Arabidopsis thaliana: one gene and its partner. The protein of the gene in region 1 interacts with the protein of each later gene in a pairwise test. Each region holds a gene or a part of one and is shown in the gene's direction. Other genes may lie near its edges.

The links.
Region 2: the proteins of AT1G34570 (region 1) and PLA2A interact in a two-hybrid assay, tested with the Arabidopsis thaliana proteins (one large-scale study listed by BioGRID).

What each region holds. Positions count from the first base shown.
Region 1 is NC_003070.9:12,654,309-12,658,379, reverse strand, and holds AT1G34570 (Essential protein Yae1, N-terminal), read left to right. Parts: upstream 1-1,774; 5' UTR 1,775-1,935; coding exon 1,936-1,951; intron 1,952-2,084; coding exon 2,085-2,144; intron 2,145-2,345; coding exon 2,346-2,467; intron 2,468-2,561; coding exon 2,562-2,683; intron 2,684-2,776; coding exon 2,777-3,083; 3' UTR 3,084-3,453; downstream 3,454-4,071. Other genes in the region: AT1G34575 (FAD-binding Berberine family protein), read left to right, coding at 1-1,231; AT1G34560 (hypothetical protein (DUF1184)), read right to left, coding at 3,703-4,062.
Region 2 is NC_003071.7:11,292,879-11,297,474, reverse strand, and holds PLA2A (phospholipase A 2A), read left to right. Parts: upstream 1-1,556; 5' UTR 1,557-1,766; coding exon 1,767-1,904; intron 1,905-1,987; coding exon 1,988-2,356; intron 2,357-2,442; coding exon 2,443-2,604; intron 2,605-2,832; coding exon 2,833-3,135; intron 3,136-3,215; coding exon 3,216-3,388; intron 3,389-3,484; coding exon 3,485-3,563; 3' UTR 3,564-3,773; downstream 3,774-4,596. Other genes in the region: HO2 (heme oxygenase 2), read left to right, coding at 4,049-4,523. UniProt on the Arabidopsis thaliana protein: Possesses non-specific lipolytic acyl hydrolase (LAH) activity.

The sequences.
Region 1 (4,071 bases):
TTTATCAACCGTTGATTTCGTCGTCCTCGACATGTTTAATCTACGTGCAATTGAGATCGATCCAAAACTAGATACCGCGTGGGTACAATCCGGTGCAACCCTAGGAGAGATCTACTACAACGTTGCCAATAAAAGCAACAACCTCCGTGGTTTCCCCGCTGGAATCTGTCCCGGTCTCGGTGCTGGTGGGCATTTTAGCGGTGGAGGTTACGGAAACATGATGAGGAAATACGGTTTATCGATTGATAACATTATAGACGCTAAGATTGTTGATGCTAACGCAAGAGTCTTGGACCGGAGTTCCATGGGAGAAGATCTTTTCTGGGCCTTACGAGGCGGTGGAGCCGCTAGCTTCTGTGTTGTCTTAGCTTGGAAGATCAAGCTAGTTCCTGTCCCGGAGAAAGTTACAGTCTTTAACGTTGAAACAATCGGAAACAGAGGAGTAATCCCTACCGATCTTGCAGCGAAATGGCAAGAGATCGCCGACAAGATCGATAACGATTTGTTCATAAGATTAACGTTGAGCTCAAGTAACAAGACGGTCAAGGCTTCTTTCATGGGAATGTACTTAGGAAACTCCGAGAAGCTTCTAGAGATTATGAACGCCAAATTCCCGGAACTCGGTCTGAACAAAACAGAGTGCATAGAAATGAAATGGATCGAATCAGTTCTGTTCTGGCTTAGTATCCCACCGGGTACAGCACCAACATCGGTCATGCTAAACCGAATCCCACAAAAGCAAATCTACCTTAAAAGAAAATCCGATTACGTGCAGAAACCGATCTCAAAACCCGGTCTAGAATCGATATTCAAGATTCTTTCAGAGAACGAGAACGTGTCGATGGCTTGGAACCCATACGGCGGGAGAATGAGCGAGATTCCGGCGACAGAGACGGCGTTTCCTCACCGAGCAGGGAACATGTTTAAGATTCAGTACTCATCTAACTGGTTCGTGCCAGGTGAAGAAGCGGCTAGCGATTGCTTGAGCCAAACGGAAAGAGTGTTCGAGGCAATGAGCCCTTACGTGTCTAAGAATCCAAGAGAAGCGTTTTTGAACTACAGAGATATTGACATTGGGAAGAACTTGAACTCAACGTACGAGGAAGGTAAAGTGTATGGAGTTAAGTATTTTAAGAATAACTTCGAGAGGTTGGTTCAGGTTAAGACTAGAGTTGATCCGGACAACATTTTCCGGTACGAGCAGAGCATTCCAGTGCACGTTAGCCGTTAGAGACATTCTTATTATTTGTGTCTTGTATTAGTAATGTTAAATAATATAATCTTGTGGGAGAGGAGATAATTAGTACTTTTTTTTGTAACATCAATTAAATGTTATTTAAATTTGTATCTTTTGTTGTTATTAGAGATAAATGTAATATTCTTGTTTAATTAAATCTGAAAATATAAGTGTCAAAAAGGAAACAATGTATTGTTAATTTTGCTCTTTTTTAAATTTATTTATTTAAAATCCAAAAATTAAAAATAAAATCCAAAAATTATGATTGTAGATAATTATGAAAATGCCCATTAGACCATTACAATATATTTGCCAAAATTATAAATAGATTTTGATTTTTATTTGGAAGAAGAATTTGTTGGATTTGAAGTTTTAAAATTAACTCAAAGCATGATTGGTTTATGTTTATTAGACTATTAACAAATCTAATCTTTTGACTTAGATTTGCTAAGTGCGTTGACCCAACCAAAAAACAAAAACAAAAAAATCTGCTAAGTGGGCTGAACTTGGGCCTCATAACTCACTAAACGACAAAACAAAAATTAGGAATTGTCTTTTTCGAAGAAAAAAATCGGAAACCTGTGTATGTGACCTTTGTGGTTGTGGGCATCGACGATCGTCATCTTCCTTCTGGTTCTTTCTGTTCTCTCAAAACCATTTGGTCAAACCATTATCTCGAAGTCGTCTCTGTAGAACTAATGGAGCCGCCTGAAGGTTCTTTTACTACGATACTATTTGTGATTTCATAAGTTTCATAAATCACCCACCAAGTGTTCGATGATATTCCCCACTCAAATTTAATGACTTGAAAGCTTTGTTTATGTTGATGATTGTCAATGATATACAGATGGGAAGGTTAATTTCGCCAAAGAGCTTTATGGAGAAAGTTTGCAGATTTCGAAACTTAGTGAGGACTCTTTACTTTCATAGGTCATAAACTTAGTGACAATTGACAAAGTTTTTGCTTTTCTGATTAGAACTCTTACAAATTTGTTTCTGATAGTTTAGTTGAGGTCTTTTGTTTGCTCAGATTGTTTAGGCTTAGAGCATTGTATTGCTAAGTTTTTGCTTTCCATGTCTCTCTGATAAGAACTATCTTTTGGTTTAGGTAATAAAGATCATGGTCTTGAGAATTTAGATGATCCCTTTTACGGAAGTTCAGATGAAGATTATAGTGAAGCTCGCGTGTTGGACAATGAGAATGAGCAGAGACGTGTGAAATTCCACTCGGTATTCTTTTTTGCTTTATCATTCTCTCAGTGTAAAATGTTTGTTCAATTTTCTCCATGTCTGTTTTTTTTTTAATGGTAAATCGAAATCGTAGGCTGGATATCGTGATGGGATTGTTGTCGGGAAAGAAGCTATTGCGCAGGAAGGTTATAACTTTGGCTATAAGGAATCAGTTCTTGCTGGTTACAAGTTTGGTATTGTTAGAGGTGTTTCTAGGTAATTACAAGTCTGTTGCGATGTGTTACATATCCGATGAAGCTTATCGAGTAGTAGTAAGTTATACATTTTCTGTTTTGACTCTTTTTGAAGTGCGCTGGCTTTCCTCCCGGTTGAGTTTAGAGAAAAGCTTATCGATGAACAAGAAACTAGAGAGAAGTTTCAGAAATTACACAGTTCTGTGCATGCTCTTTCGACGGAAGTCGCAATGAAGCAGTTCTATGAAACTTTGACTACGAAACAAGGGGAAGAGAAGAGTGGAGAAGAAGGGCCCGACTCTTGTTCTGTTTCAGGTTCTTGTTCAGGTGTTAATGTCACAGCCGACTTAGGAAGCTATGTTACTGAGCTAAGTTCTCTTCTTGACAAATCTCCAACGATTGAAGTGAAATTTGATACATAGACGAGGCTTGTTCAGTAGACGTTATTCACAAGCAAAAGCAAGATTAGCGTCCAGTTTCCAAAAACTGTTTGTAAGCTCGGTTCTGCCTCAGCGAGTAGCGACGGCTAAATCATGCTTTCTGCCTCGGCAATTTCATTCAACCTTCTCTACCAATTGTAGCCGCACTCGCCGAGCTAAGAAATTACTCTGTTAATTTGGGTTGACAAACCAACAAAGTACTTTGTCAGCAAGATTATGGCTAGTTATTTGTTAATGTTATAAAATGGACTAATCAATAAAGATTTTGAATTAAAATAAATTGTAACAAAGGCATTCCATATATGCAAGCTTTATCTCGATGCAATGCAAATCATTGGAATAACTTACCAAGAAACATTATCAGACGTGATCTTATCCGATCTAGAGTTTGACAGAACTTAAAGAAGTCTTTTAAGTCACTTGATACAACAATCTTCTTCTACTCATAACTACTGTCTTTGAAGTATTTATTTAGAAAGAAAAAACAACTCTGGCACAAAATGTTTGATTTCTCGTCGAGCAAATGTTAAAGCGGATTCATATGCCTAAAGAAGTAAGATGTCGAGAGCAAGTTTCGAGACTTGCTTCGTTCAAAAGAGGCCTAAAACAGCTCAAGAACTTTAGTCTTACTAGGGTGTATCATTTCTGGTGTTGCTTCAAACAGAGACTTCCACAAGTGAAAAATGCTAGACTCTATAGCTTCTCTCGCAAACCCATTCGCCTCCGATACATCCTTGACAGATCTCAAATGCTCCTCTAGCTTCTTAAGCTCTTGGTTGTAGTGTTTAAAACCAGACGGTTTCACTAAGCCACCGATTTCAAGAATTGAAACAATGCGAGCCAAAACTCTGACTCCAAAAGAAAATTGATAGGAAAACGTTTTGAACTGTTCCCATTGGCTCGACTTGCCACCATCCTTATAGACTCCATTCTTGGGTTTGATATATGTTTCAAACACATACTGAATAAC
Region 2 (4,596 bases), on another chromosome or scaffold:
ATAATTACAAGTACAACTCTTGATTTTATATTGGGATACAGGGATAATAGTATAGGTTTGATTGGTGATTATCAACCGCAGTTTTTTTTCTTGTCATCATTTCAACTGCAATTTGGGATCCAAAAAACAACCAATTGTAAATACTTCACATTGGTGGGTGAGAATAAAAGTGTCAACTTCATTTTCCATCTCTTTATCTATCTAATCAAAGAATTCTATCAACTCAATGATGAAGAAACTTCAACTTTGCATGTCTTGAGAAAAAAAGATATTCCAGCATATCAATGTCGAATCATGTGATTTGAAAGGATAAAAGTATATTGCTCACAAAATTTCTAAGTGTTTTCGCGGAAAATAATAATAATATATGCGATTCTATTCTTTTCTTTGTCAATTGTTCCAAAAATACATTACGAAATTTTACGGTAGAGCACCACAAAAAAAAACGATATTGCTCAATAAAACATTCACATCAAGAAGTTATTGCTCAATAAAAAAAAATTGTTTTGTAATAAAAAAAACTTTTCTTTTAATATATTTTTATTTTTGTAACTGTGAGGTTCAACCATAAATTTTTTTTTTATTAAAACCAATAAATATAGCTTAAATCTCTTTCAAACTTTTTTACATATGTGACTAACCATCAGTGACAATTCGAATTTAATATTACTCACGGTCTAGCAGATGTGTTATAAATTTTGAAATCAATTATAATTTTACAAATTATATCAAACTTGGACTTTGAGTATGTCTCTATTTGCCTTAAATGATCAAATATTACATAAACAAAAAAACTTGAAATTAAGGTTATTAATAAATAATTTAATATTTATTTTTGAATTTTGGTGGATTTAGAAAGAATAAAAGTATTTTTTCTGGGAAAATATGCATATTTATATTATTTGAATTGAGTATAGTAAACTAAGGGTGTTAAATGAAAAACAAATTGTTGTATGTACAAATTGACTTCATTTGGTCAATGAAAGAAAGTTGCAGTGTTGGGGGATAAGTATTGAGCGGCGGCTAAAATACTAAAGATTTTCTAATATTGCCATAAAAGATATTTTTTGTAACTTTCTATTTGTCACGGCACTGATTTTTTCAAAACTCCCATGACACAGCTGTCTTTACCCCATAATATATTGAACGTAAAGTAACTTCTTTGACCAATTGACCATGCTTAGTTGCTTACGTTGTTTATACAAAAGATTCATTGTTGGAAGTATAAGTAGCAGTAATATTACATCGTAGGTTGTTTTCTCTCATTAACATCGTCTCTAGGTGACTAGAAGAACGATCCTTTGTGTGTGAACTCGTGAGCAGAATCTAAACGAAAATTATATAAAGCTTAGAATTCATTAGAAAAAAGTGACATACCAAGAAACCCGAAAATGGGGAAGTTAATTTCATTTGAACAAAAAAAAACATTGTAGTTTTGTAATAAAAGGGTTGACATGGTCTTAATGTGGAAGAAGTAAAGAGGCTCACGAAAAGTCCATGTTGTCTACAAAGGAAGAAACAAGAACCAATAGAATTAGAGTTCAAACCAAAGGACGAAGTATGCAAGTTAATTTGACAAGCTAATATCCTAAGAATGAAGACATGGTCTAACTTTGAAACAGCAGCCACTAGTGTCCTATAAATACATAGAGTTCATTAACCTCTCATAATATCTCACAATCAAAGTTCTATCTCCTCAAGTATCAATACATTGATATCCATTAAAAAAAAGAAATATCAATACATTGCTTTGCTTGTTCTGTAAGATGCAAATGGACAGCCCCAAATCTCCTCTCCAGCCCCCGACCTATGGAAACTTAGTTACAATCCTCAGCATCGACGGTGGTGGCATTAGAGGGCTAATCCCTGCCGTTATCCTTGGTTTTCTCGAGTCCGAACTCCAGGTATATATGTGCTACCTAACTATACAAATATTATGTTTGTAAAATTATATTTTCTTAACTCATATATATACATGGATGCATAGAAATTGGATGGAGAAGAAGCAAGGCTTGCAGACTACTTTGATGTAATAGCGGGAACAAGCACCGGTGGTCTAGTGACAGCCATGCTCACCGCGCCTAATAAGGAAGGCCGACCCTTATTTGCAGCGTCTGAAATTAAAGATTTCTATCTTGAGCAATGTCCGAAGATCTTCCCTCAAGATCATTTCCCATTCTCAGCCGCCAAAAAACTCGTGAAGTCCTTGACTGGTCCTAAATATGACGGTAAATACCTTCATCAGCTTATCCACGCTAAGTTGGGTGATACAAAGTTGAGTCAAACACTTACCAACGTTGTCATTCCAACGTTCGATATCAAGCATCTTCAACCTACTATCTTTAGTAGTTATGAGGTTTGTTTATAGCTTGTTCTATTTGTGAAATTACAATATAATAATTAACAAAACTTTGGTTTAATATATATATGACTATTTTATAGGTAAAAAACCATCCTCTCAAGGACGCAACCCTCGCAGACATTGCCATCTCAACTTCAGCTGCCCCTACATACTTGCCTGCCCATTTCTTCAAAGTTGAAGATTTAAACGGAAACGCTAAAGAATACAATCTTATTGATGGTGGAGTTGCAGCTAACAACCCGGTAAATTTCTAAATATTGGATTTATCATTTATGTAGCAATAGGGTTTTTATACGAAGAATATAATATATCAACAATTATTATGGACTTAAATTGAATAATTATAACATGAACACACAATGTTAGACTATATTTCATTTTTTACTATGGAATTTCTTATAATAATCGATACGAGTTTTCTGTAAAAATCTTGAATAGATCATGATATAGTTGTTATATGTCAAGTATAGGCTTTGTTGGCCATTGGGGAAGTAACAAATGAGATCTCAGGAGGAAGCAGTGACTTTTTCCCAATAAGACCAAATGATTACGGAAGGTTTCTTGTGCTTTCGCTTGGAACCGGAAATCATAAAGCCGAAGAGAAATTCAATGCAAAAGAAGTAGCTGGTTGGGGACTATTGAATTGGTTAACACACGACAACTCTACACCTATCATTGATGCTTTCTCGCAAGCTAGCTCCGACATGGTTGATTTCCATCTCTCTGCCGTTTTTCGAGCTCTTCATTCCGAAGCCAACTATATTCGCATCCAGGTATCAAAATCAGCTAGCGCACTAACCATTTCTTTTTCTTTGTCTCCACAATTCCTAAGATTTGGGTATTAATTATATAGGATGACACATTAACTGGGGATGCTGCTTCTGTTGATATCGCTACCGTCGAGAATCTGGACATTCTTGCCAAGACAGGAGATGAACTACTTAAAAAACCTGTTGCAAGAGTCAACCTAGACTCGGGTTGTAACGAAAATGCTTATGAAACGACTAATGAACATGCTCTTATAAAGTAAGTGGCCCAATTTTTGCATTTTATAGCTTTATTCTTTCATACTTAAGGTGATTAAAAGTATTTTGCTAATATATTTAAATTTTGGTTGTGAAGGTTAGCAGGAATACTTTCAAAAGAAAAGAAGATCCGAGACATTCGTTCACCTCATGCAAAAGCTCCAATTAGGATCTAAAGAGATCAATTATTGTATCTTGTATATTGTTGATGATTCGTTTGTTTCACTAATGCACGTTTGGATTTATATTAATAAAAAGGTTGCACCACATTGTGGTCACTTGTACGTTTGAATAAAGTCAATAAATATTTAATGGATGGAAATGCTCTAAAATGTTTGGTCATTTTTCAACATACATTATACTAATAGAATAATGGCGAATAATACATAGACACGTACGTACTGAAACCAAAGTTATCTCAACTAATCTAATTATCTAAGCCTTTTTTTTATGGCTTATCAACTAATCTAAGCATAATGTAAATATAAAAAAAACTATTTATTTTTTACATCTGCCCTATTTAGGCTAGTTATGAAATAATTAATGGCATGACATGTAAATAATAACAAAATTAAGGGTGTTTGGTTTTCCAATGTTTGTCGATTAGGCTGAAAGCGAGAAATCAAAGTGAAGGCAGCGTCTATCTTGGTCGTCGGAATCCATGGCTTCTCTTCTCAGGCCAACTCCATTACTCTCTACACCTCGTAAGCTCACTCACTCTCATCTTCACACATCTATCTCTTTCCCATTCCAAATCTCAACTCAGAGAAAGCCACAAAAGCATCTTCTCAATCTATGTCGTTCGACACCAACACCGTCACAACAAAAGGCCTCACAGAGGAAGAGAACAAGGTACAGGAAACAATACCCAGGAGAAAACATTGGTATAACTGAGGAAATGAGATTCGTCGCCATGAGATTACGCAATGTTAATGGTAAAAAATTAGATCTTTCTGAAGATAAAACTGACACCGAGAAGGAAGAAGAAGAAGAAGAAGAAGACGATGATGATGATGATGAAGTAAAGGAAGAGACTTGGAAGCCTAGCAAAGAAGGGTTTCTTAAGTACTTAGTTGATAGCAAGCTTGTCTTCGATACTATTGAACGAATTGTTGACGAATCTGAGAATGTGTCTTGTAAGAACCCTACTTTGGTCTCGAATTTGACAGTTTGGTAATGATTTGGGTTAATGGGGTTTGTGTTCAATGT